2 linked regions of the Nothobranchius furzeri genome follow. The protein of the gene in region 1 binds, or shares a complex with, the protein of each later gene. Links are inferred from orthologs where the notes say so. Each region holds a gene or a part of one and is shown on either strand. Other genes may lie near its edges. The genes, in order: ciao1 and ciao2a.

Region 1 (17,626 bases):
CGTAGCCCATGGTCACCTCAATGCTGGGCAGAGCACGGCAGGCCAGCACAGGAGCCATGCTGGCCAGGCTGAAACAAAGAATTAATAATAAAATCTCTGTTATCTATTTTATTCAAATAAATGATAAACATGGGTCAGAAAACTTAATGAATCCCCATGTTAGGTGCTTGTTGGCCCCTTGAAAGGAATTTCAAAAAACGGACAATGATTGCTGTGTCACTGACAATAAAAAGGCAATGTGATGGTTTGCTAAATTATTTTTAAGTCATTCATTGTATAAATTATTCAGTAATTTAGCAGAAATGAATAATAAATATGAGGCAAACTGAGGAGAAAATCTAGTCAGGAATGGTTAAAGGCAGAGAGGATTGCTGTTCTGTTTTATATTTCATAAATAACAATAAAAACAACTTTTGACAGAAATAACAAGACAACAAGACTTACAGCTGTTCTCATGCTGAATAATGTCCAGATAATGTGTGTATGTCACATTTAACATTTTACTTTTCTCTTATATATTTTATTTTCAGAAAGATCATTAAATAAAATGTATTACCTTGTAATAAATATTTCTGTATATTACTTTTGTTTTGTTCACAAACTCTATCTTCCATAGAAAGAGGCCAGCAGAGGCCAGCATACTCTTTAAACCTCTGTTGTCAAGGTAACTGCCCCTCCCCTCCTCCTCACCATCCTGCTCCAGTTTTCCTGTAATCCCAAATCACCTTCTACCTGGAATATTCTACTCTTCACCTTTCACTGTCGGCAAAGTGTCTGTTTGAATCTGCCTGAAGCTCTTGTTCCATCTCTTTAACTCCAAATTCAATAACACAATGTCTGATCTCAAGGCCACATACTGTAAAATAAAAATAAAATAAAATAGAATAAGATTTATTAAATTTAATTTAATAAAATGAAATTAAATTAAAACAGAAAACATTTTAAGAATAAAGAAGGGGTCATCTTCAGGTAAATCCAGAACATTAAAGGTAAAATATTGATAAAAAAAACTTGTGGAGACAAGCTGCTCATTGAGGATTTGTACTTGGGGAAAACATTTCACTGCGCTGCTCCACGGGTTGATTTCTAACTTTAAACTCTGAATATTTGCACCGTTTTTAAATTTACTCACAATGATCATCTCATTTTAACAAAACACTTCTACAAAGGTGCATTCAAAAGCAGCCAGACTCCTTTTTGATAAAACGAAGAAAATAAATAAATAAATAAAAGAAAACAAAACTGAGACAATGGTTCTTGGTGGCTCCACTGAGACCCCCAACATAGAAGTTGGTTCTCTGGCCCGGTACATTACGCCAACCCGTACTAACCGTGGGGTCATACTGGATGCTGGACCAAAGTTAGACAACCACATTAGATCAGTTGTTAAGTCTAGCTTTTTTCATTTAAGAAAGCTGGCAAAAGTAAAGCCCATCCAGTCCCAGAAGCATTTTGAAACAGTAATCCACGCCTTCATCCCGACTCAGCTGGACTACTGTAATGGTCTGTATGCTGGAATAAGTGCACCAGTATCTCTTAGCTTTGGAGAGTACAAAATGCTGCTGCTCGCCTCTTAACAGGCACAAGGAAGTAACATCTCCCCTGTTATGGCCTGTTTGCACTGGCTGCCTGTGCCTTGCCTTACCTGTGTGACCTGCTACACCCATACATCCCCTCTCGTTCCCTCAGGTCAGTGGGTCAGCTGCTCCTGACTGTCCCAAAGACAAAGCGTAAGCCTCGAGAAGATCGTGCCTTTGCTTTAGCAGCTCCTAGATTGTGGAATGAGCTTGCTTTAAATATCAAACAAGCCTCTTCACTGTCAAAACCCACCTCTTCTCTCTGGCCTTTGACACTACCTGAGATGTTGACTTTTAACTAGTTTTAGATCATTTTTACTATTATTTAAATGCATTTTACTTTGATTCAACCAAATTGTAGTCTGCTCAGCTTATTGTGTTAACTCTTTGGTTGTTTTATTACTCTACGTTCTAGGGTTTTATTGTTGACTGTTGTTTTTATTTGTTCTGTCTACAGCGCTTTGGTCCTGCGGGTGTTTCAAGTGCTATACAAATAAAGTTGGTATGGTAATAAAGAAATAGTTAGAGAATTTCGACACCTTTTTACTGGCGTTGTTCCTACAGGTGAAGGAGTTTGTCATTCTTCTAAATTGTTTCATCACTAACTTTCTCCTTCAAAACGTCAATTGACTCCTCCTCTTTCTTGGCATTAACAGCAAAAGGGATTAATCTTGGGATGTAAGCAAGAAGTCAGCATACACTTTAACCTTCTGTTGTCATGGCGATCCCCTCCTCAGCATCCTGCTCCACTCTTCCCTGTAATTCCTGTAATCCCACACCTCCTTCTACCCGGAATCCTCTATTCTTCACCTTTCACCCTGTGCCCTTTCACCTGACCTTGTCACAGGTCGCCACGGTGACTGCTCATCACCTCATCCATCCGGCTAAGACCAGTCATTTTGTAGCAGATCTCATTAGGTTGGACCGTTTGTGTAGGAGTTTTTGTTTTGCCCAGCCTGCCTTAAAGGATTTGTCTGCTTTCAAGTTGCCCAGGATGAGCTTAAAAGCACTAAAGGCTATTTTTACTACTTCTGTCCTACTTGTTGTCTGCTACGCTCAGAAAGAGCCAATATGAGGAATTTAACCTTGCAGCTTCAAAAAGGCAACAGCTGATCTGACAGTTTATGAAGCTCTTTATAAACAAACAGTATCAGCTGCCAAGCAAAGCCATCTTTAATATCTATTTGGTGGAAGATAAATCAGATTTTCCATGTGTAAACAAAAAGGTGTTGAGATGCTTTAGGTTTTGTTATACTAGAGTAAGCTTCTTTAATTGGCTCAACAAACTTGGGGGGCAGCAGTTGGGCTAATGGTCCTTTTATCTTTCTATTATTTCTTTAAAAATAAATGCTGCATAAAACAACAAGATCTGGCCATTGATTAAATCTACAACATACATGATTTTACTCGTGATTATGATAATATCATTAATCATTTAGTGTGATTTCTCACAGCCTCTCATGGCCTAATTCTATTATGAGGATTAATTAAAGCTTCTGTGTTCACCTGTAGTTAAGGTGTCATCAAAACAAATAAAAATGTCAAGAGCAGACCCGTGTTTGAGTGAAAAAGGTTCATTTCGAGCACATTTTTAGCACTTCTGTTAATCTTAATGCTGATATTTGGTACAATGACCAAATGATACGTACCCAATGGGCTTGCGTGAATGGTGGAAATCTTTAAGAACTCGTTCTACGTCATTGTGCAGCTTACAGTCTTTGCCATCCTTCATAAAAGATGATCTAAAGGTCAGGAATTTTGCAGTTAGTGGCACATTATATGTATATATATAAAATAAACACAATTATTTTTTACATTTGAAAACTCCTCACAGGTTCTTGATGATCCCATGACCTCCAGGAAAGATGACAGCATCAAAGCTGTTGACATCCAGAACGGACAGGTCCTGCATTTGCATCTTTCCCTGACCGTGACTGAAGCGAGCCGACTCCATCATCATGTTCCTGATTACAAATGTGTTAACATGTGATGGGGGTTAGGTCAGGTCATTCGGCTTTACGTGCAAAATGTAATCAACGGTCTCCTCAGCCCAGTGTGAGATTCCTACCGGTTCTCCCCTGAGAACGGCTGCTTTTTCATGTGATCCATCACATGCATCTGCTGCTGATTCGGAGCAAACATCTGGAAACGAGCTCCGTTTCGGCTCAGGTGGTACATGGTGCTGAGGAGAAATTTGTCACCATTTCTGTAAAATTACGCATTTATACAAATGTAAAACAAAATCCCTGATGTCCTGATACTCACTACACTCCTTCATGGACATCAGTTCCATCCCACCATCCACATCCTGAGAAAACCTAGAATACATTGATGCACAAAATCAGAACAGTTCTCCTCTTTTCATGGGTCGTGTAACAAGGAGTCAAACTTACCACTGCAACATTGGTGTTCCCCCAGGTGCCATGGTCACCGTGGTGAACAAAGCAGGCTGGCTGGCGAGAGAGAATTGCCAGTGTCTGTTTTGACAGCAAAGTCCTGGTTGCCAGCATGTCTATGATCAAGTCTCACTTTTTGAGAAGAAAAAGTGTAAGTGAAGAGTTTGCAACCGAGCCTGTGAAGACCTCTGACGGCACAGACATTTACCTCTCTGAGGACATCTGTATAAATACGTGCGGTCAAATGACGCTCCCACATTAGCTCCATTGTCTTTTCACGTCTTGACTTGTTCCCTTCCTGAACACCCTTCCCTATTAATACCTCTTTAATTCTGATTACCTTAAAGCATTTGGCCACAGGGCAAAACTTTAGCCTCAATATCTTAACTCGTTAGGAATTTGGCACTTGATGAGTCGCATTGGTTGGGAAACTGTTCAACACCATTATGCAGGCATAGTAGTATGCCATATGCCCTTTAAAGTCCATTAGGTTGTAAGACTCTTACTCTCTGTAATGCCGTGTTGAGTCTAGACAGTAATCCAGAAATACCTTTGACAGAAAGAAAACTAACATTTATAGTAAAACTGCACATTCCGTTTAGCAGGAGTCAAAATGTAGTTATAGATGAGCAGCAAGAAGCAAAATATGGCATTTATTTTATTATGGCCACTTTATGTAGAAACAATCGCTATTTACACATCAGTGAGGAGAGCACAGTGAGGAACAAAATGTAGAAAATGATAAAACAAAGTGCAATCAACTACAATCATCACACCAGCCACACGTTTAAGCCTCAGGAAGAACCTTGTGATGAGATTCTAGCTGATTATTTTCAAATGTGCATCCACCACAACCCGTAAACAGAAGACATTTACTGAACTTGTCATGTATGGTATTCACAAGGTACAAACAAGGTTTATTTTTAATAAAATACAATAAACATAACACAACCAAATTAGGATGTGAGGTTTGTTGCTGTAGCAGAACACCCTCTCTCTTCACCTGACTCACAACACAGCCAAAGACATTTTTTAAAAACGCCAAAGGCCCGCCTCACATTTTTGGAAATGTCCTTATTGTTTCTAATACAGAGGTGAACAGAGAAGACTATGTTAGTGACTAATGTCTGCAAAGCAAAAGATAGAAGACAGCACACACAATAAATAAGGTCCATTTGCTTTTTTATATAAAATAAACATTTAAAACAATCTTGTCAGTGTACGTGTACATCAGCATTTATGATGTATCAAATTAAAATGCTGTGTTGTTTTAACAAAGCCCCATCATAGCCCTGTAACTGCAACCACTGACAACGTGCTGAAAGTTTGTTTCAACAAAAGCACTGATCAGGCTGTGGCTACCCCCCAATTTCTTCTTATGAGCAGTTTAATACTCTCTGCAGTTAATTTATCTTTACATGTAAGGACCAGATCCTAAAAGCCATTTACATGCAAATCACTAACCACTTCAGTGGGGAAAGTAAGAAATATCTCCTAAACTGCTGTCACCACTAAAGAAAGATTCCATGCACCCAAGCACTGTTATTCAAGGAAGCTGTGCACTAATGTGCACACGCTGTGTTTAATGCCAAGAAAATCTGCAGCAGTATCCGTTTGCTTAAAGAGTGTGGTTTTGCACATCGAGCAAAAAGCTGAGCTGAGAGAGAAATGTGTATGCAAAGGCAAGTCTGGTTGGATTAGGGTGTGTAGGCAGGTGGTGGTTGAAACTGATTAGCAATGTCATAATCAGCAGGGAAATTCTCACTGCTATCCTCCATCTCAGAGAGCAGCTCTAAGGCCTGCTCTTCCTCTTCAGTGGGGTAGTGGCGAAGAAGGTTTGCAGCTGTGGCGAGGATGGATGCTCCACCCGCACCTGCCACCAGGTAGAAGCTGATAGCAAAAGTGACATATATAAGTGAACCGTGGTACTTCTTGTGCTGCTGCTGAAGGGACAAGATCAGCTCTGAGGCCCAGTAGCAAAAGCCTATGACTGTGGCACACTGCAACACTAGAAGGAAAAGGAAGTCTGTTAGCACAGGTAAATATGCAAAATGTTTTGTGTGTAAATGAAAGGTTTGTACCTGTGAGTATATGGGCAAATGCATATCTACGAGTGATCTTTAGGGCAGGGTGTTTCGGTCCAAACACATCTAACAGAAAAGCAGTTAGACTGCATAGGATGCCCAGGAAACAAAAGGCAGCTATGACCCTCAACAGCAGGATGGTCTGCGGGTTCACACAGTAATCTGAGGATACAGAAACGTCAAAACAAACAAAAACCATTACGAGTCAAAACAATGATCGATAATTGCTGGTTGTAAAGTAATTGTGCAGGTTCTCACCATCTAGAAGCTTTGGATCAATGTAACCCAAGACATCCGCAACCCCCAGCTCCTGCCTGGGACAGGCGCCCCCATGAACACGCACCCAGGCCGGCTCAGCCAGAGCCGTACACAGCGCTGTGATGGACAAAGCTCCGGGCAGCGCTGACACCAGGCTGCGCTCCGGCTGCTTGGGCAGGGAGGTGGCAGTTCTTCTTCTCCGGCCACCAGGTACGGTAGAGCCCGGCGGAGCATACATGATTACCAAATCTCTGTTTTTGTAGGAAGTGTTGGTTCCCTTGTCTGTCCTTTTCCTTAAGGTTTATAACTGGGATTAGCCGCCTGACACAGCTGTCAGTCGGTACAGCTGATTTTACCTGTAGTGTTAAAGGATGATAGCGGTCCAGGCGACTTGTTAGATGAAAGATATACAATACTTCCGTACGAGAACCAGCTGCTCGATAAAAAAACAGGATCTGGCTGACGAGGAAACAAAAGACAGATGGCCTTCAGGCCTGTTAGCTGTACTGTTAGCCCGATTAGCTAATTCGCAGTAAACGTCAAATATAATAAATTCTTATGACAGGATTAAAACGAATACAAAAAAAACATATAAACGCCAACCTAGAACCCAATCTTTACAACAACAATAAATAAAAATATATTGTTTTAGTTACAGAAAAACAAACAGAAAACAAAACAAAAGACAGCTTACGCTGGTTTCCTCTAAAGCATTGACTTCCTGTTTCCACCGGGTTTCGTCGTAGCTACAGTAGAACCTGTGATCACTAGCCCCACCTACCGGTTAAAAAAACTACACAACGATGAAAACTTCTCTGCATTTACCATAGACTTTAAATCTTATACATAAATCTCGCTTTTTTTATGAATAATTATATATTTTATTACGACAACTGAATTTGTTTCCGTTTATTTAAAAAAAATATATTTAAGTTTGTTTTTAAAGGAAGACGGAAGCCCACAGTGTGCACTTCCGATAAGCAAAGATGGCGGCACGTCAGTTGTGGATGTTTCTATGAACTTCTTTAATTTGCTCTTTATTGCAAGTTAATTCCTTATCTTCTCAAAATATGTTAATAGTGATAGTGGCTCTGCTGCTTTGATGGGTTTTGTTTGAGTTTCTTATCGGATTTTTCTGGGAAGGAAAAGACAAAAGTGACGAGACCTGTTAACTAAATATTTAATAGTCATTAAGTCAGTATGAAGGAGACTCTCACGCTGCTTCACAGGCTCAGCGCACACCCGGACTCTCGGTGTTGGTTTGTCGCTTGGAGCCCAAACGGGACTCTGCTGGCTTCGTGTGGCGGGGACAAGGCCATCCGGATCTGGGGACGCGAAGGTAGCCTGTCATCTCTTTCTCTCTCTTACACACACACACACACACACACACACACACACTCTGATTATTAGTTATCTGTTGGTAAAATAATTAATCTATTGACCTCGGTGACCCCCTCTATCCGTAGGAGACTCCTGGGTTTGTAAGAGTGTGCTGGAGGATGGACACCAGCGCACCGTGAGGAAAGTGGCCTGGTCTCCATGTGGAAATTATTTGGCCTCTGCCAGCTTTGATGCAACTACATGCATCTGGAAGAAGAATAACGAGGGTTTTGAGGTTAGATGAGACCTCTGTTGTTCAGTGGTGTGATTAAAAAAGCATTTAACCGTGAACTTGACACATTTGTAAATGTCTTTATAGAGTTTGACAGTGTTGGAGGGACATGAAAATGAGGTCAAATGTGTGGCGTGGGCTCCATCAGGGAACCTCCTGGCCACATGCAGTCGAGACAAAAGCGTTTGGATCTGGGAAGGTTTGTGTTTATTTACACATGTAATAAATACAATTTGATCAGATCTGGTTAATAGGTGTTTTCCCTCTGTCCCACAGTGGATGAAGAAGATGAGTATGAGTGTGTCACAGTTCTAAACTCTCACACACAAGATGTTAAGCATGTAGCGTGGCACCCGACCCGAGAGGTAGACTCAGATCTGTAGACATTATCTCCATCTGTAGCTCCATTCTCATTTTTGAGGTTATTGTCTGTTTCCTCAGCTCCTGGCTTCGGCCAGCTACGACAACAACATTTGTATTTACAAGGAAGAAGACGATGACTGGGAATGTCGCGCTACTTTGGAAGGACACACCTCCACCGTCTGGAGTTTGTGCTTTGATGCAACTGGACAGAGGATGGCGTCCTGCAGCGATGATCGCACTGTGAAGATTTGGAAAGAATATCCCTCTGAGAGTGGTCAGTAGTTATGAACAGTAACACCGAAGCCATTTATTTACAAACAAATCCTTTTTTTTACCTGCTCTGTATGTTGAAAGGTGACACGTCCTGGAAGTGTGTTTGCACTCTGTCTGGGTATCATGGACGAACAGTGTATGATGTGTCCTGGTAAGACTGAACTTCTATCAGTGATCTGAATGAATTACCTTCAAACTGACTTAAACACCATTTGTTCAGGTGTCCGCTGACTGGCGCCCTGGCAACTGCCTGCGGTGACGACGCAGTTCGAGTTTTCAGAGAGGACGTGACCTCTAATCCAGAAGAACCTGTATTCTCGCTGGTTGCTCAGGTAACCAAAGCTCACAACCAGGACGTTAACTGTGCTTCCTGGAACCCGAAAGAAGCTGGAATTCTTGCCTCCTGCAGCGACAATGGAGAACTTGCCATTTGGAGGTTCAAAGAAGACTGATTCAGTGACAAATGCACCGAAGTGCTTTTGGTTTTAGATCTCATACTGGGAACTTTATCTTTAAGGCACCACATCTGTTATTTCATGGCTTGATTAATCTCGTTTTAATTTTTGTGATCGGAAAACCGCTGCAGCTCATCTTGTACACTTTTTAAAAATGGCTTAATCAAACATGTTTATGAATAAATACAAAAACACAAGACTGTGTGGTTTCATTTTAATAAAAAGAAAAGAACATGCCAGACAATAGATTCTTAAAAACATGTTTACTAATCTAGGGAAAACCATTTTACATCTGCAATGTAACTTTAGACATAATCTGAAACCAAATTGTTGCATCTTTTATTTTAAAAAGCAAACCTGACAAGAAAAGTACAAAATTATGCTTCCCATATTTAAAGCAGTATTGTCAGTGGATCCAGCTGAATCCAAAACATGCATTTCATTTTTAATACGGAAAACAGATCCTGCACACCAATTTTGGACTGTTTCATCAATCGGGTCACTAAAAAAAACTGACATACTTTGGGCAAAAGTGAGAAGTTTAAATTCAAAGAAACAAATCAGGTTGAATATCTACAACACACCCATTGATTCCCTCTCAAATGGAGACAACACAGTATTCAGTAAAACTTAGTCTGAGTCACTTTCTCCCTCGCTGTCGGCCTCCTTCACATCCACACTGAACTTGTACTCCTGGTCACAACCCATGTACGCATCACTCATGAAGTACAGGGTGTAGTGGTGAACGCCCACTGCAGGTGCAACAAAGTCCAGCTTCACCTGTGGAGGAAGTACAGAAGAAAACAGGAAATGAGGCCTTCTACTGGGAAGGGGAGAACATTTCTGCTGTATTACACCGACCTTTGCTTTCTGCTGAAGAGTCAGCCTCTTGATGGAGATGAGGCTGTTAGACTTGGGGTCTCCAATAACGACCCACCAGCCCTCCTCACGTTTCTGCAACAACAAGAACACGTCACCACGATCCACTTTTACACACCGCTGAAACAAACGGGATCTTTGGTGAATGACGGAACAAACCTGAGGGAAGAGTGGCGCAATAACCGGACCAGTCACCTCCTCCTCTCGCTCCAGCTGCACCTGAACCAGAACTGAACTGCCGCTAAGAAAAACAAGTTCACAATGTTAACCGATGTTAATCGATTAAATTGATCCTCAACCGTAAAACTTAATTATGCTTTCAAAGCTTACATAAATAAATCTGCTGAGAAACACAAACCTTTTGACATTGTCCCTCTCTGCTACTTCATAGGACAGCTCGATGTTGGGGTAACGGTTACAGAAGCGAGCCACATCAGCCATCTGGCTGTCTGACAGCTGCAGCAGACCGGATCTGTCCTCATCCTCCATTTCCATTATGTCAAAGATACTGTCCACACCCTAAAGAGAGCAACAAGGGATGTTTTCATCTACGTTTGCTTCATTCATAACCAAATGTTAATACCAACTAACCTTGTCAGTACAACGCTTGATGTGTTCGGAGGTAAAGTGAGGCAGCTGCTTCAGATACGAGTCCTTGGACCACATGGCCTGGGTGACCATCTGGGCCAGCTCCATAGCGGCTAGAGCGGGACTCAGCCAGCCGTTACTGGACAACACGTCGACGCAGGCCTGAATCAGACGGATCGCCTACAAACAAACGCTCTCGTCACATAAAACACGCTGGGATCAAATACAGAAACGTGGCTGAGTCACAGCAAAACATAGTATTCAGGGATCTGAACCTTGCTGAGGATGTCTTCGGTGTCCGACTGGAGCTCAGCACTCAGCTGCATCCTGGATAGGTGAGCTTGCAGCAAAAGGTTTGTCTTCACATGGGGGTCGTTGAACTTCGGATTGTTCAGTTTGTGGGGCACTTTCTGTGCCAGCTGAAGGAAAAAGCAGCTCAAAGTTAAAGATGTTGCAGCACAAAAGGCACCTACACACTGGGTCAGTACCAGACCGGAATTTGGTTTCACACCTGGGTAGGGCTGGGCCTAACCCAATTTATCGTTATTGAAATTTCTGACAGAATTTTTCCCATATCAATAAATTTGATAATAAAAAAAGAAAAGATGTGTATAGGTTGGCAATGTTAATGTCCCTTTAAGAAGCGGTACCACCTTGAGTCACGTAAATATGTGACTCAACGTAAAACATGTGACAGCCCCATGTAGTGGACAACTTTTGTTTCTGCACATACATGTAGTTATCGTTCATTTATCGTTATCGAGGTGAAATCCTCAATATATTGTGATACTGATTTTAGGTCATACCGCCCAGCCCCACACTTGGGCCACTTATGAGTTTTCTGTTCTGAGGTACCTCTTTTTTTCAGACCTCTTTCTCAAAGGACCGACTGGGACCGAGGTGACACTACGGACTGATTGGCTGACTGAAATGATCATCTACTGCCTCAAGTAGAATCAGCCAGCAGGGGGTTTACGCATGAACATCCTGGATGTTGTTGAGTAAACATCTCAGTCTGTAGCACAGAGCTCCCGGAAGAGAGAGTCGTGTATGTCCTCTGAGCAGCGAACATCTCTGCATGAAGCTCTTGCTACAGCTGCTCAATGGATGGAGAGAGCAGCGAGCGTGTGTGTGTGAGTGGAATTTGAGGACATGCACAGCAGTGAGAGAACAGGGAGCACATTAATAAAAGAATGTGCTTCGGTGTCTCCAAAAGCAACACAGCTCACACCTGCCTTTGCTTATCTTAATAAGAAGGACACCACCAGCGCATTTTAAACGCCGCCCACGTGCTCGGGGATTTCTGCATTCTCGAGAACTCCTTCGGGAACACTACACTGCCCGTATGAGACCCAACTGACGCTATCCTCCCACAACCGTACTGACCCTAAAGTGTAAGCGGCAAAAGACGCTACTCTAACGTGGACTTGTGTCGGTGTGTTTACCTGTCGGAGGAGCATGTCCTCGTGGTGCCTGATGGGAATGTTCTTATATTCAGCTGCGTTAGAGATGATTTCAATTAATCCTCGACTCTTGGTCTTGGCATTCAGGGACATGCTGAATAACTCTGTTGAACAACAACAAAAACTTTGCTGTGAAGTCTGAGGTCCAGGAAGCAACATAAACCCCATAGAGAGGTGAGTGTAGCTACAAACCAATGGTGGTGTAGTTTATGTAGTAATAAGCTGCGATCATGCCCAGATTGAGGGGTGCAACATCCATCTCGTCCTCGATGCTGATGCACTTGGACTGCTCCAGGTCATGTAACGTGTTCTCCACCAGCTCAGACAGGTGGTCAGACAGGTGGCGATGGGACATGCCTGCCACAGAACATAAGACTCAACAAGAAACCCCTAAGCCTGGTCTGGTCAAGTGTGATGTGGTCTCTGCCTTAAAGGATGCTAACCCTGCAGGTTGTAGTAGTTGGGGTTCTGCGTCATACGGCGGTAGAGGAACGTCCACGTCAGGTAGTCCACGGCGTCCTGCTTGTTCTCCACCGTCTTGGTGACGATCTCAGCGTTAAAGTGGTCATGAAGACAGTGATCCAAGTGAGACTCCACTGGCAGGGGCTCGTACAGGAACTTCTTGAAGAAGTCCTACAACAAAAACAGATAACCTGTTTAGTTCAAGTATTTTTACAGTAATTGCTTTTAAAACAAAACCAACGCATGTTCGCACCTTCTTGGAGCCCTGACACATGATGACACAGCGTCCCTCATCATCCAGCATGGGTCTGTTTGCCTTTCCCACCATCTGGAGAACATCATATATGGGATAGTCCACATATCTGAGAGAAATGAGAGAACGTGTCATCAAAACAGCACATTAAATTCATTATTGTAGACATTTTTTCAAGTCAACTTAAATCCTTACGCATGGATTTTTCCATTGTAGTATTGGGTATCCATGACGATGACGAGGTGTGCAGAAACGCTGATGCCCCAGCAGAGCGAACGTGAAGACACCACCACCTGAATGGCACCTGTACAAGAAAGAAACCCCTTTTCTGGTTTGTTTCTCAGCTCTGAGCGACCCAGGTGTAAAATAAAATTCATACCCGAGTTGAAAAGCTGCTCCACGATTTTGCATTCAGTTGCAGAGAGGCCCTCATGCAGGTATCCCACGCCGTTGGCCAGAGTCTCTTTAAGAGTCCCGTCGTTTATCTTCTCAAGGAACGGAGTCAAGTCTTTTTCGTTACAATGCAAAAACCTGATAAGACCAAGAATTTTTCAGAACACCAAGTAGAATAATCTCAAGATCAAAGACTGATGAGCTGTGACCGTACAGTCTATGGCTGTGACTGACCTCTGAGGAACAACATCAGCAGCACAGAAAGTGAGGATGTCGATGGCGGTGAGGCGGGTCTGCCTGCGGGACGGGACAAACACCAGCACTGGCTTGGAGGGAGAGTGCCTCATGATGGCGTGGTACACCGGTTTGGCCATGGACAGCAGGCGAGTCTGAGTGTGGCTGACGTTGAAACCCTGCAGCAACAAGGCGACAGGAAGTCAGGAATCTGGAAGGTGTTTAAATAGTTCTTTCCAATGGTAAAATTTGTGCAAAAGCTTTTCAGACCTGGATGTGCAGCTCAAGAGGAACAGGTCTGACATTGGGGTGGAAGTTGAACGTAGCTGTGGTGCTGCAACCCAGCCAGTGGGCCACATCTTTAGCATTGGACAAAGACGAGCTTAGGGCCACGATGCGGATTGGACGCTCGATTTGAGAAGAGATGTATCTCATCCTGGAGCAGATGACCTCCAACACAGGCTGATGAAATAAACAAAACTCCGTCAACATGCTTCACTAAACACAGAAACAGCTAAAAATCAGCTGAGCAGGATGAGATACTTACTCCGTTTTCTCCTCCGATGAGGTGGGTTTCATCCACAATGAAAAGGCTGACATTCTGCACATTCTTTCTCTGTTTCCAGCGACGAGACAGGATGTCCCACTTATCAGGAGTGCTGACAATAATGTCCCCCTTCCCCAGGAGCTTCAGATCTGTGCTGGTCTCTCCGGTCAGCAGAACTACCTTTTTGTTCAGAATGTCCTGGAACTTCTGGTGCCAGTCCACGAACACCTGGGAGACGAGGATCATGGTATTGGATAGGAACATTTCCTGTGTTGTATCTGACATAAATGTGAAAACAATGCTAGTTTTGATGCACAGACTCCTTACCTGCTCAGCCAGCGCTTCCATTGGGGTGATGTAAACACAGCGACCTTCTGCGCTGTGCAGTAGCATTCTCAAGATAGCAAATTCTGCACAGATGGTCTTTCCACTGCCAGTCGGAGCTCCCACAAAGACATTATCATCACTGTTGTACAAAGCATTGAAGACTGCAAGAAAAAGAGAAGTATGAGTGAAGCAGAGTGCACTGATCAGAAATGCCAGCGTATAAGGAGTCTTTGTACCTTGTGTCTGAATGGGGTTGAAGAAGGGGAACTTGTTTTGATAAAGAGCCTCAAAAGCTGAATTCCTGAGAGCGGTGACAGGCAGTGGCTGCAGATCCAGCAGCTCAGTGGGTGGGGGGTACTTCTCTGGTAGGATAAGATGGCGGAAGGATACAGGAAGCTGAGTCTCACAGGCTGAGGGAAAAAACAGAAGAACGGTTTTATAAAAAGCACAAACATCAGGAAAGTCCTGCAAGATGCTGGAATTAAAAGTTACTTACAGAGCCATCGGTCTGAAACCACACGGATAAAGTACTGAGGAGGCAGAGGCTCAAACACCGGCACAAAAAACGTCACCAGGTGCTCGTCCTGCGCGTACTTGGCTTTGAGGAGGAAGTACTCGTGGTGGAGGATGACCTCACTGTCCACGTCCTCAACCAGGATCCAGAAAGCTTCAGAAGATCCGTGAATCTAAGTAGGACATTTTAAAAATAAGAACAAACAAGAACCTAGATCAGAGTCGAGTCATGTGCATTAAGTTTACTGACCTTATCATCCCACTGGAAGTCTGGCGTGACAGTGAGCTCCACTTTGAGCGTGGAGCGAGTGATGGGCTGAATATGCACAGCCAGGTCCAGTTTGGGGAACTGGTGGACGTATTTGTGAATGGTCTTTCCCATTTTTGGCATTCGGATCAGCTCACCTGAACAATGAGGAACATGACGAGGTTATGAAAGGATAAGCAAAAGTCGTGAAAAGGAAAAAAAAAAAAAAAAAAAACCTCACCAATCTCATTGTGGTTGAGATCATAGAGCCGCTCAAACGGGAAGTTTTTCTTCTCAATCTTCTTCACGACCTCCTCTGGGAGCTTCTTGAACTGCCGCAGAGGAGACATGGACTGCCACCTGCAGAGCACAGACTCAAATCTGTGAGATGTTGACCTCACTACAACAAACATGTTTATGTAGGAGTAAAAACACACATACATCCTCTTGTCAATCATCTTGCAGAGGTTCATGGTCTTGTCTGTGAGCTGAGCCCAGCCGCGGTTTAGCACAATCTCAAATATGGCTCTCATTAGCCGCCCGGCACTCTGAAAGAACAAAAAAAAAAATGCTATAAAATAAAGAAAATTATTTTATGTACAAGGACACACAAAAATAAATGACTAGTAATGCTTTGTTGAGTGTCATTTTTAAACATTAAACTAAAGAAAACAAGTTTAAAGCAGCATCTGAGCACGCGGAAGCTGGTCTTTCTGTACCTGAGTAACATAAACCATGTCCGCCATGAGAGCAAAGCCTTCCAGTTTGAGCTGAGAGATGTACGCCTGGAGCAGAACGTTAATCTGAAACAAAAATAGTTTAAGAAACTCATTCTCTGGGATTAGAAAATGCACAAATACATTTATTTATTCTGTGTCAGGTTAGTGTGTTACCTTAGCGCTAGGCTCCTCGATGCTCTCCTTCACAGGAATAGGAACTCTTTCCAGAAGTTTCTGAAGTTCCAGTTTTTCCTCCTAATAGAAAAAGTTTACTATTAAAACACTGAATTGAAAAAAGAAACTTCATGTGTATGAAACGGCTACGACATACCTCTCTTACTGTGATGTTCCTGAACTCTGAGGAAAGTGAAAAGACCCGGAAAAGTTCAATCTCGCTGAGAGTCGGCTTCAGCAGCTGGTTGTAGGTCTGAATGGAATCGTGAGTGATGTAGAAGTGGCTGGCGATGCGTCCCAGGTCTGTAACCTTTGTGGCAGCAGACACACACAAACATAACTAACTCACCAGCACCAGAACCACAAGCAGGGGCCGCATCAACAGGTTATTTTACTTTCACCATTTTTCTTTTAAACGGTGATGAAAAAAACCTGAAATCCACTCGTCAGATTACAAATCAGGTGAGGTGGAGAAAAAAAGATGGCGAGTTCAGTGGTGTCACTCACAAACGCTGACACGGAGAAGTGACGTAATAAAAGAGAAATCCATCAGAAAATCTTTAGCTCTTTTTAAAAGACAAATCTGCATAATACCAACGGTGTGTCTTATAAACGCGCCACGCCGGCATGGCGATGTGCAAATTTTGCAGCATTCCTTCTGCCTCGCTTGGTAGTAATATTGCGGTAATTGTCTGACTTCTGAACAGCGATTGCACCTTGGTGCAACAGAGGGAGGTGTCATGATGACATGGTGAGTTACTGCCGAGCTCTGGCCGACAAATATTTTGAAAATGAAAGTGAACACGGGACGTAAGTTTTTCTTTTGTAAACAGAATCAGCTGAGATGTTAAACTGAAGCGATGCAGCACTCCAGGAGCTTCTCTCCATTAGAGCCGGAGGTCAGATCACCGGAGGCTGCACAGGACTGGGGGACACACACCTTTAGGAGCGGCTTGTTAAAAAAACTTAATGATCGCAGCTTCCATTGCAATAAAAAGCTAGTTATGTCCAAGATAAACGGAAGCCCGTGGCAGCACAGACACCGCCCCATACCTCCTGCCGACATCGCCTAATCTTTTATAAAAAGGACGCGATTGCGCCACATTACCACCATGACCTGACCACTTATAAATGACCCAAGGCTCCCTGATGCTGAAACGGAGTTGTGGAAAATAAATGGCATTGTTTAGTGAAGACGGCTTTGGCAACATTTGTATATTTAGTGGCTGACAGCACATTGGAGAGTTATGGAAAATAGGCTCTGTGGTGACAACAGATCACACACTGGTGCAGGTGAACTACTGATACTTCGCTGCAAGATTTCCTCCCACTAAAGCAAGTGCTTGTGGGATCAGGAAACTCCTGGTTCAGAGTCTTGCGGACTTCTGATCTCAGTTTATGAAACTTTAACTGAAGTGGCGTTTGTAATCGACGTCTTTAGTGATGCAGCTGAGTGTGGATTCAGCCTCCAGAACACGAAACAGCCACAAGGATTCGTCTGTCAGAGACACAGGCCCAGGACCTCTGCAGCAATCCCACCTCAGACATGCGATGACTATCCATAAGCAGGTACTGGCATTCCACAAAGACCAGGAGAAAGTAGTGAGATAGCAGGTGAACTGTTTTTATTTTTAAGTGTAATCATTTTATTTATTTGTTTATTTGTAGCTACTGGGGCCAAGGTCAGAGGTTTTTGTCACTGCAGAGACAAAGTTACAAGCATCCATCTGTATGAAGGTCTGTTCAGCCGGTTAGATCTGGACAGTAATTTGCTCACCTGGAAGCTTCCTGTCCTTTTGTCATACTTGA
Region 2 (11,718 bases), on another chromosome or scaffold:
GATCGAAACTGACCAATGAAAGGAAATAAAACTAAACGAATCAATAACTGATAAAACAAGTAAAAATAAATAAATAAATGAGCTCTTGTTTATGTTTTAAAAAATCAGATTATCTTTTAATGTATTTACAAAAGGTTCTAGCTCCATGTTCTTGAAATTATTTTAGAGCATAGACTTGCTTAAACCTCCAAAAATGGCACGTTTCCCGTTTACGTTTCTGTCGATGGTTTCAGTATTGAACTGTATTCTTAGTTCACGATGTCTCGCAATAGTTTGATGCGGTCGTTAAATGATAACCCTGAACGTGACTTAAAATGAATTCATAGAAAACTGTGAACTACTTTTATGTGTTCTTGTAATTGGCGCTATTTCAAATCGTTGATCGATGTGTTTTGTCTGAAATTCGTCCGTGACGTAGTTCACGCTCAGTGGAGCGTGTGTAAACAGCAGATCTCTACACACTTTTACTGCCAGTGTTTGTTATGAACATGTTGACGGATTGTGTTGAGATCTACAGCGGCTACGTCCCGTCCGGTCCTGTCAGTCGCTCATCTTTTTAGTCGGTTTCGTTTACAATGGCGTTTTCTAAAGAATGGAGTCCGTGTTCAGCCTCATCTCATTAACTGTTACTAAGGTTTTACAATTGTCAGGGTTCACTGACAGCAGGGATGTCCTGAGGACAAGAAAGATGGAAGAGAAAGCGTTGGAAGTGTACGGTAAGTTTCTGACCTCGCGTTGTGAAGTTAAGCAGCGACTAGTTTCGGGCTGTTGTTTTGTCCGCGTCAAGGGCATTTTTATTAATAAATGTTATCTTTTTTAATTCAATTTTCTGTCACCACATACTCTTGGTGTAGTAGAGCCAAAACATACAATAAATGTATATTTAGAAACATGTACATCATAAATAGCTCAACATTTATTTCAGATTTTTGGGGTCGTTTTGTGTGTATATTCAACTTGTAAAGGCGACTAATTGTAGTGGCGGGTTGAGTTATTTTGGGGCCGGAGGCAGAGCCCATAGGTGTTTCTCAATGTCAAGGCATTGCCTTGGTAGGTCAGGCGCCTTGCTTAGGTCAAAGAAAACGGTTTAATGGAACGTCACGTGACACGCGAGGTAAGGTTATGTTTTGTTTGTATGAGTTTTATTATAGATGTATAGCGAGCCTTTTAGTTTTTTAATTGTGAATAGATTGGTTAAATATGTAAGCAAGTTAGTACCTGCTAGCCAACGAAGTTGCAACTAACCCACCGTCGATAACGGCTTTGGATCTAAAAACATTTTAGATATCAGGCGGATAGCTACAATTAGTTGACTTACATTTAAACAGGACATTTGCACCCGAGGTAGCTGCTGGCTTCTCGTCCACCCTCCTTCTGAAAATACTGCACTGGGTACTGGGAAATTTTTGAATGAGAGAAGGCAACAAGACGCCCCCCGTGTATCCTTGGCCAGTTAGCTAGACGGCTAACAAATGGAGGACAGACACCTATGTAGCACATGAACATGGAGCAAGCCTTAGCCGTTCCTGATGATGTATCTCCTTGGCAACTGGGATGGGACCAGGGCATCAAGGGGTGGTTCCTTGACATTGAGAAACACCCCATGTTTGGGTAGAGCCCTTATTATTCTCCCCTCGTGTCTGTCCTTTCCAGTCTGTGTGTTTTGGAGCATTAAGATCTTGATTAATTTGGTATTTAGCTGTGGAAATAAACAACCACCATCAGTGCAACCCTCATACTCATCCAGCATCTAGGAATTCTTATAGTACATATTGATGAACAGATTTTATCATGTTGAACTCTGTTAGATGTCATTCGAACAATCAGAGACCCAGAGAAGCCCAACACCCTGGAGGAGTTGGAGGTTGTGACGGAACAATGTGTGGAGGTCCAGGAACTTGGAGACGATGAGTTCCTCATTATAATCCGGTTCTCTCCAACCGTCCCTCACTGCTCTTTGGCTACACTCATTGGTGAGTCCCTCTGCTGTCAACCTGTCGCAGACATCCCAGTCAAACACTAAAAATATAATTCTCTAAAGTCTAAACAGTTAGAGAAAAGAAAAAGTAGAATTGTTGAGTTCAAGTTTCCTGACTTGTTGATAAAGACCTGGCGGTTGATCCATGGCTCCTGGGGATCGGCAGGGCTTAACTTGAAAATTCCAGTTCATGACATCCTGTCATGTTTCAGGCAGAATTAAAGCAGCTGCTGTGAGTTGGAGCAAAGTTGGAGTTGGGTTAAAATAAACTCTGAAGTTTTTTTTTTATTTTAAACTTTTTGGATGAGATGGGATAAATAAATAACAAGTACAGAAAATAGCTAAAAGTCCACAGTCCCATCATTTCTTTCAGGGATTCATCGCATACATAAACAAGTAGGGAGTTGGTTAACAAGCTATAAGATCAACCGTATAACTGATCATTTAAAGACCAAGGTCACTCATTTTTTAACACATGCATTGGTCTCTATTGTAGATTAATTGATCTCTGTCGTGAGTTGACCTCTGTGGGTAAAATGCTCTGGCGTTCCTGTTTCAGGAGCTAGAATTTAGCCACAGCAGAGTTAACATTCAGATGACAGGATCTGGAGGCTTTTCCCTGATATTCAGACATCTTGCTTCTGATTGGCTAGCAGCAACACAACTCTACCACTGACTCTGTTCTGCATTGATGGTTTATCTCCACAAATAACACAAGCCTGAAGAAGTTCTGCCATGTTGTGATGTTGCTAAGGCTAACAGTTAACTTCCACTAGCCAAGACATGCTCTGCTCTCTCCTGGATGGTAAACCAACAACAACCTTCCTAGTCATGAGTAGGGTTGGGCATCATTTCAATTTGAACGATTCCGGTTTCGATTCCAATTCCTTGTTCCAGTTCCGGTTCCATTCAATTCCTAATTCAGATTCTTTCAAGAGGCAGAATCCAAAACGTCAGGGGTGTGGGGGATCAGCTGCTGCCTTTCCTACCCTGATGCAGGACTTCAGGACTGAGTTTGAAGCTATTGCTTCTGTGACAGGACCTAGGTTGACTTTAATTTCAGACCCTGGTTGTTGAGTTTTAAATGAGACCTGTTTGTGGTCCATCAGTCAGTTCTAACTGGTAAATGTGAATTATTCACTCTGTTTTTTGTTGAACTCTTCACCTCTGTCTCCCATGTAGAGCTACAGCAGGCTGATTCTGTCCGGGACTGATGCTCTTTTTTCATGGTTTTGCAGGTTTGTGCTTACAAGTGAAGCTCCAGCGATGCTTGCCATTTAAACACAAGGTAAGCATCAGCGTGACTAGGACTGAGTCAAAGCAGCCAAGTACCAACAGCCCCCTGGTCGGCCAGCCGTGTTATTTTACACTTTGATTATGGAGGGTCGTCTCCTTTTAAAAAGGCAGAAGAGGGACGTAGTCTTTGTTTACAATCTGTACTGCCTCCATACATCCTGGTTCTTGAGCCAATCATATGCGAGTCTGTGGGTTCTCCAGTTCTGTGTCGACATATGTAATTTGAAACCAGCCAGCAAAAAGCAGCAGCAGCATCGTGGAAAGTTTTTTAACCAATAAAAGGAGTGACCCAGAAGTCGTTGCTTGTACCCCTAAGAAGCCACGGCATCCTTTTGTTTTACTCTAATATCGAGGAAAGAAGGCTGTAGGCTAACATTGAGCCAACAGTGAATTAGGAAAAAAGTGGTCGGCTCTAAACAACAACGCGAGCTAATTTTTCAGTTACCAACAACTAAATATTTCTTACTGTGATTCGTCATCTATAATCTTCTATTTCTGATCAGTAACTGGCTGTGGTTGCTAAGAGTGGACTCGTTTGTTTTGAAACATGAACTTGCTCCTTTCTGGAGCCAGCCCCAGTGGATGAAGGGGGAACTGCAATTTCTTTCATTTCCGTGTTGGCGTTACTTTTGGCAGGCGGCGTGTGCCCCTTGACCCATGCACAGGAACAAAAGTAAACGATTGGGTGTATTTCCAGTCATTTTTGGTTGTAATTTGACTTTTCAAAAACGACTGTAATAATGATCTTGTATTCACTTATGAGTTGGTATTCTTTCTCTTTTTAGTTGGAAATTTACATTTCAGAAGGAACCCATTCTACAGAGGAAGATAGTAAGTTTTTGTCTTTTATTACAGTAGTGGGGGTTTGTTCTGTACTGCATAATAACAAAACCTATTGTTTCATTGTTGTTGATGAGGGCTGGGCAATAAATCGAAAATGTATCGTTATCAAAATTTCTGACTCTTATTGAGATAATTTTTTCCATGTCAATAAATTTGATAATAGTAAATGAAAAGCTGTGTGTAGGTTGGCAACATTTATGTCCCTTTAAGAAGCTGTACCACATTGAGTCACGTAAAAATGTGACTCATCGTAATCATCGTAAACATGTGACAGCCCCATCTAGCGGACAACTTTTGTTTCTGCGCAAACCTGTAGTTATCTTCCGTTTATCGTTATTTAGGTGAAATCCTTAATATATGGTGATATTGATTTTAGGCCATATCGCCCAGCCTTTATATATATGTGTGTGTGTGTGTGTATATATATATATATATATATATATATATATATATATATATATATATATATATATGTATGTACATATACATACGTATTTATATATGTAGATATGTATACATGGATATGTGTATATATATATATATATATATATATATATATATATATATATATATATATATATATATATATATATATATATATAATGTATATAATGTATATATATATATATAATGTATATATATATATAATGTATATGCATATATATATATATATATATATATATATATATATATGTATGTATGTATGTATGTATGTATACCGTAAATCCTCTAATACAGGCCGGTATTCAATTAAAGGCCGGGTCTCCAATTTTGGCTGGTGCCGGAGTCAGCGGAGGTGATTAATGGCCGGTCTCTTATTGTGGCCGGGTGGAATGTGGTAACAAGCAAATATGAGTGTCTCAGCGGCAGGGTTATAGTCCCCAAATCAACCAGTAGGAGGCAGTAGAGGTTCACACAGACCTTTATTAGGCTTTTTCTTCAACGCTTTTTAATGCTACAGACACGATCCTCTATCACGCTCCTACCACACAGAGTCACGGTGTCAGTTAACCATGCTAATTCAACCCACTCCACAGAACACACATCACCTTCCCTGTGGCTTACATAACACTCACACAACACGCAAATCAGCACATAGGAACTAGCAGAATGATAGGAAACACATATAACACAATACCCAGAATGCACCTGGCTTACAACCCCAGCCAGGTCATTACACTATCAAGTTCAAAGAGAACATGCTGATTATGCTGCAGAACACTCTGGGGAGCAGTAGCAGGGGTTGTATGAACTAGTCGACTTCACTATAGTGACTTTTTATGCCTGTCGTCGACTAGTCGCTGTCACGTGATAATGACCGGCAAGATGCAGCCCTCGGAAAAGACAGCAGCCTGCTATCAGCAGGTGACCAGCTCCTGCGCTCAGGGGGGCAACGCACTGTGTCAGAGCATAGGTACTGACACGCGATCGTTCATGTCGGTTCATTTCCTTTAATGTTTTCTGTCTTTTATTTGCGCCTGATGTGTTTCGCTGCTGTGGAGCGGGGCACATCACCTTGTCCTCCGACTCACAGATCACTGATGCGGCCGCCAAGCAGGGAGAGCTCCGCTGTTTTCGCGGTCGGTAGATCTGCCTCCTGAGCACGGCCACAATCAGGTGTCGCCACCTCAAAAACTAATTTAACACGCGATCGTTCATGTCAGTTCATTTCCTTTAATGTTTTCTGTCTTTTATTTGCGCCTGATGAGTTTTGCTGCATGCTGTGGAGCGGGGCGCTGCGCGCATCACCTTGTCCTCCGACGCAAATTCCACTACCTCCGCTCCGCTCCGACACAAACGCCGGAGCAAAATCGGTCCCGTTGTAGTCAATCAGAGCAATTCCACTACTGCGGCCGTGCTCCGGCAGTGCGGCGCCGTGCGCCGCCCTCTGTTCCGGCGTCCGGCAAAAATAGAATCGATCCTATTTTCGCCGGAGCACCTCCGCAGTCAATGGACAGAAATCACAACTGCCCAACAGGAAAAGGAGCAAGCACAACTTCCTTTTTTCACAATAAATCGATAAACAAAAGGCGTTTTTTGTTTCATATGCACAGGTTTAACAACTTTTAACAACTATCAATGGCGGCTGAACTTTAAATGCACAAAAATAAGCCATAAATACAGTTTCTACTGTCAAAGTAGTTGCCCTTTGTTGATCCAAACTCTGCTGATCTCTCAACACAAATGATGGGCAGATTAAACAGTTCATTATATGCTTCTCCCACACAACGGGTGTTTGGATCTAACTTCCGCGTTTATTGCTCGGACTGTATGATACGGCCGCCAAACAGGGAGCGCTCCACTGTTTTTGCGGTCGGTAGCTCTTTTAGAACTGCAGTTCAAAGGTAACTCATGAGGTGAATATATATGAACCCAGGTAGCAGTTTCTCTTTAGGATTGAGAGGAGATGCAGGAAGATAATAAACAGGCAGGACAGAAAAATAGTCAAATAAAAACAAGTTAGTTTTTGTACCTGGTGGTTGCAACAAACAGACACCATTGAAGGTAATCAGAAGTGAGGAACAGAAAACGAAATAATTATTTTAATGTTTAGAGCAGCAGGAACTCTGAGAGGCTGCAGGCGCATCAGTGAGTTTGCAGCCGCTGCGCAGGGGGAGGGGGGAGGGGGCTGAAGCAGGAACTACCGTTGTTAAAAGAAATGTGTTTAACTTTGAAAATGTGGGCGCAATTTTAATTGTCTAAAACTCCAGTGAACCATTAGTTCACTTTGCTCAAATAGAAATAGAGGCCTGCCTCTAATACTGGCCCTCCTTCCAATAAAGGCCTGGAGCTTGATGAGCTTGAGTCAAATACAGGCCCGGGCCTGTATTAGAGGATTTACGGTATATGTATATACATATACGGTATGCTTGAGTCAAATACAGGCCCGGGCCTGTATTAGAGGATTTACGGTATATGTATATACATATACGGTGAATATGTGTATATATATATGTATATGTATGTATATATGTATATATGTATATACATATATATACACATATTCATATATATATATATATATATATATATATATACATATATATATATATATATATATATATATATATATATATACATATATATATATATCACGATAAGAGTCGTCTCAAGGCACTTCACATAATAAGCATTCCAATTCAGGTCAGTTCTTTAAGCCTATGAGAAATAATGTTTCGTATATAAGGAACCCAGCAAATTGCATCAAGTCACTGACTAGTGTCAGTGACTATACAGCAATCCTCATACTAAGCAAACATAAAGCGACAGTGGAGAGGAAAACTATATATATACATGTATATATATATATATATATATATATATATATATATATATATATATATATATATATATATATATATATATATATATATATACAGTTGTGGTCAGAAGTTTACATACACTTGTAAAAAATATAATATAATGGCTCTACTGAGTGTCCCGTTATTTCTAAAACTGATTTTTCTCTGATGGAGTGATTGGAACAGATACTTCTTTGTCACAAAAAACATTCATGATGTTTGGTTCTTTAATGTCTTTATTATGGGTTAACAGAGAAAAGTGATCACATTTGCTGGGTCACAAATATACATACAGCAACATGAACTAGCAATTTTGGTGACAGAAACGTGTCAGTGAACTGAGCTTCATAGCATGGCCTCTTAACTTCTTGTGAGTGATTATGAGTGACTACAGCTGGTGACTTCTCTTAGGCCAGGTAAATAGGGCTCATTGGATACAAACGCCCACAAACGCTACAATGGGAAATTCAAAGGAGCTCAGCATGGATCTGAAAAAGCGAATTATTGACTTGAACAAGTCAGGAAAGTCACTTGGGGCCATTTCAAAGCAGCTGCAGGTCCCAAGAGCAACAGTGCAAACAATTGTTTGTAAGTATAAGGTGCATGGCACTGTTTCATCACTGCCAAGATCAGGAAGAAAACGCAAGCTATCACCTGCTGCTGAGAGAAAATTGGTCAGGAGGGTAAAGAGTGAACCAAGAATCACCAAAAAGCAGATCTGCCAAGAATTAGAAGCTGCTGGAACACAGGTGTCATTGTCCACAGTCAAACGTGTTTTGCATCTCCATGGACTGAGAGGCTGCCGTGCAAGAAGGAAGCCCTTGCTCCAAAAGCGGCACCTTAAGGCTCGACTGAAGTTTGCTGCTGATCACATGGACAAAGGTAAGACCTTCTGGAGGAAAGTTCTGTGGTCAGACGAAACAAAAATCGAGCTTTTTGGCCACAATGCCCAGCAATATGTTTGGAGGAGAAAAGGTGAGGCCTTTAACCCCAAGAACACAATGCCTACAGTCAAGCATGGTGGTGGGAATATTATGCTGTGGGGCTGTTTTGCTGCCAATGGAACTGGTGCTTTACAGAGAGTAAATGGGATAATGAAGAAGGAGGATTACCATCACATTCTTCAACATAACCTAAAATCATCAGCACGAAGGTTGGGTCTTGGGCGCAGTTGGGTGTTCCAACAGGACAATGACCCCAAACACACATCAAAAGTGGTAAAGGAATGGCTAAATCAGGCTAGAATAAGGGTTTTAGAATGGCCTTCCCAAAGTCCTGACTTAAACCCCATTGAAAACATGTGGACAGTGCTGAAGAAACAAGTCCATGTCAGAAAGCCATCAAATTTAACTGAACTTCACCAATTCTGTCAAGAGGAGTGGTCAAAGATTCAACCAGAAGCTTGCCAGAAGCTTGTGGATGGCTACCAAAAGCGCCTAATTGAAGTGAAAATGGCTAAGAGACATGTAACCAAATATTAGCACTGCTGTATGTATATTTGTGACCCAGCAAATGTGATCACTTTTCTCTGTTAACCCATAATAAAGACATTAAAGAACCAAACTTCATGAATGTTTTTTGTGACAAAGAAGTATCTGTTCCAATCACTCTATCAGAGAAAAATCAGAGTTTTAGAAATAACGGGACACTCAGTAGAGCCATTATATTATATTTTTTACAAGTGTATGTAAACTTCTGACCACAACTGTATGTATATGTGTATATATATATGTATATACATATACATACATATTTATATATGTAGATATGTATATATATATATACATATATATAAATGTATATACATATACACACATATATATATAAATGTACATATAAATGTACATATATATGTAGATATGTATATATATATATATATTATATGTTATATATAAAACAAAACAATAAATTCATGACTCCGCATTGGTTTCAAACACATGTATTAGAGTTTTGCTGCTACCACCACTTCCCCTCTCAGGCTGCCCCACAGCCACGCCCCCTCCCGCCTTGCTGGCTCCTTGAAAACAACTTTGTTTTTTAACTCTGCTAGCCCAGCTGATTCAGCAGTTTGTTTGTGTTACTGATTTTTTGGTGCTTTTTCACTAGTCTCATGTTCTGAGTGGTGAAAATGATTAATTTCTCCAGTTAATAAACAGATCAACGATAAGGAGCGGGTGGCAGCCGCCATGGAAAACCCCAACCTGAGAGAGATTGTGGAGCAGTGTGTCACTGAACCTGATGACTGAAGGGCCCAATGCTACATCAATAACTTTTTTAAGTGCGTGTGCATGAGTGAACACATGGAGGAGGTTGGATGCTGGAATCAAGTCCAGCCTTTAAAGACAGCAGCACCAGTTGTTGCTGGTGAACAGCCTGGTGTTCCAGAAGAAGGTGAATAAAGGAAGAAGAGAACACACCTCCTGCTCTACTTTTATCTCTCAACTTTCTCTCCATCATTCCTGCTGTTCACCATTCATGTTTAATCAGAACAGAATAAAAATGGCTGTTTTTCATTGCATTGACTCCTATTAGATCTTTTGTAATTCCTCAGGTGATTACCTCTAATTTGATTTCAGAGTCTGGATGTTTAGGATGGGGTTTTATAAACAGAAATGAAATGCAAATAAACTCAGAATAAAATAATCAGGTTTGAATATAATCCTGTCTCCTGTGTATTTGAATCAGAGTAAGTGTTTCAGCAGTGCTTCCTACAGATAAAACGTTATTTTGCACACATCTTAGGTTTATTTATTAAGCACTTTTAAGTGCTTCTCAGACAAGAACAATAAAACTGATACAATGATCTTAGAAATAACTATCTCACACACACCCATTAACATCACTCTTAACCATATAAAACAATATAACATTAATGTCAACATATATTTTCTCTGAGTGCACACACAAACACTGATTATACCTCCACAGTAATATTTCATACAGGTCACACGAGCTGTAATGAGCTTTTAACTATCAAGTACAAAATGATACCAGCCAGGTTTTAGTTTGTGTACCACTCTTCAAAAAGCTGATTTGGATTGGCTGCATGTGTCACTGTAGCATCACTTGATCTCTACATTTATGGGATGCAGTGTGTTGATGGATAAAATAATGGGCAGATGAGATGTGTGTCCCATCTCATACAGACCCCAAATAAAAGAAGGTGGTATGAGACTGACTCCAGCGGCTCAGAGTACATGTGTGATTATGCACAAAATGTCATACCATCTTTTAAAATAGCAGGGCTGGATTTTGAGTTTGCCAATATTGGTGTCCCCCTCTTTTTGCCCCTAAAGTGATTTTGCAGGTATGAATCTCACACCGGTTGTTCAAAGTGCATATTTGATTATGTTCAGAATAGGGATGCACAATATATCTGCATCAATATCGGTATTGGCGGATGTTAAGTCATTTTTTAACTTATTGGTATCAGTCTGATAAGTAAAACTGGGCCGATATTAACAACTAATATTTTTTCCATCTAGTTTCAGTTTGTGTATCTGTTTCAGAGGATGAGGGGGGTGCTGATGTGTTATTGTTTATTCATGTGACAGAGATGGTAATCATCTCAGAAACATATGACAAACACACACACAATCTAGTTTGCACTTTATAGAAATAAAGCAAGACATTAAAAAATTCAGTTTGCATAATTTTCAGTCAACAAAATCTGCTGATTTCACAAGCATAAATGTCAGTGTGTGTATGTATATACATATCGGTATCAGCAACTAGTGGTTATGGACCATAACAGCGATATTGTTATCGGCCCAAACATTCCTTATCGGTGCGTCCCTATTTTATAATATACATCATCCACAGACTTCTCCCCTAACATAGGTGGCATTTTGAGTTTGCCAAACTGGCATCTTAACTAGATGACGTGTATTTTTATAACTTATTTAATATCACACTGTGTAGTATTTGTTGGTTGTCAATAATAACACATGCTCAAATGACAGGAGCCCAGAAATATTGCAAATTTTAATAAATAAATAAATAAATATACGGATCAATTATTTTCCATGGGGCCCAAACTCCCTAGCAGCGCCCTTGCATCTGGGTCAGGTCCTGCTTGTAAATGAGAACGTGATCTCAAACATTACCCAGTAAAATAAAAGCTCCCCGCCCCAGGTCATATGAGCTCATATCCACAATACCCTCGTGATCTTTTCCAGTTTTCAGTTGGTTTATCCGGACTTCACTTCGGCATATCTAGGTTATTTATTTCTATACAAACCAGGAAGAGGATGGTCACCGTTTGCGCATGTGCAATGCGACCCACACGGACGTATAGCG

What was found.
Region 2: ciao1 (region 1) and ciao2a share a complex: the UniProt entries of both Homo sapiens proteins name them as parts of the CIA complex. The link is inferred for Nothobranchius furzeri from reciprocal best matches to the Homo sapiens genes CIAO1 and CIAO2A.

What each region holds. Positions count from the first base shown.
Region 1 is NC_091757.1:37,100,027-37,117,652, reverse strand, and holds ciao1 (probable cytosolic iron-sulfur protein assembly protein ciao1), read left to right. Parts: upstream 1-7,278; 5' UTR 7,279-7,515; coding exon 7,516-7,654; intron 7,655-7,781; coding exon 7,782-7,930; intron 7,931-8,014; coding exon 8,015-8,126; intron 8,127-8,203; coding exon 8,204-8,292; intron 8,293-8,368; coding exon 8,369-8,564; intron 8,565-8,644; coding exon 8,645-8,714; intron 8,715-8,783; coding exon 8,784-9,015; 3' UTR 9,016-9,215; downstream 9,216-17,626. Other genes in the region: gatd3l (ES1 protein, mitochondrial), read right to left, coding at 1-68, 3,227-3,319, 3,410-3,541, 3,646-3,759, 3,843-3,895, 3,971-4,087; tmem127 (transmembrane protein 127), read right to left, coding at 5,671-5,981, 6,055-6,219, 6,316-6,553; snrnp200 (U5 small nuclear ribonucleoprotein 200 kDa helicase), read right to left, coding at 9,649-9,798, 9,880-9,972, 10,057-10,138, 10,256-10,416, 10,489-10,665, 10,761-10,904, 11,931-12,052, 12,141-12,305 and 17 more. UniProt on the Homo sapiens protein: Key component of the cytosolic iron-sulfur protein assembly (CIA) complex, a multiprotein complex that mediates the incorporation of iron-sulfur cluster into extramitochondrial Fe/S proteins.
Region 2 is NC_091744.1:55,344,758-55,356,475, forward strand, and holds ciao2a (cytosolic iron-sulfur assembly component 2A), read left to right. Parts: upstream 1-468; 5' UTR 469-592; coding exon 593-716; intron 717-1,808; coding exon 1,809-1,973; intron 1,974-3,216; coding exon 3,217-3,266; intron 3,267-4,059; coding exon 4,060-4,105; intron 4,106-9,564; coding exon 9,565-9,665; 3' UTR 9,666-10,078; downstream 10,079-11,718. UniProt on the Homo sapiens protein: Component of the cytosolic iron-sulfur protein assembly (CIA) complex, a multiprotein complex that mediates the incorporation of iron-sulfur cluster into extramitochondrial Fe/S proteins.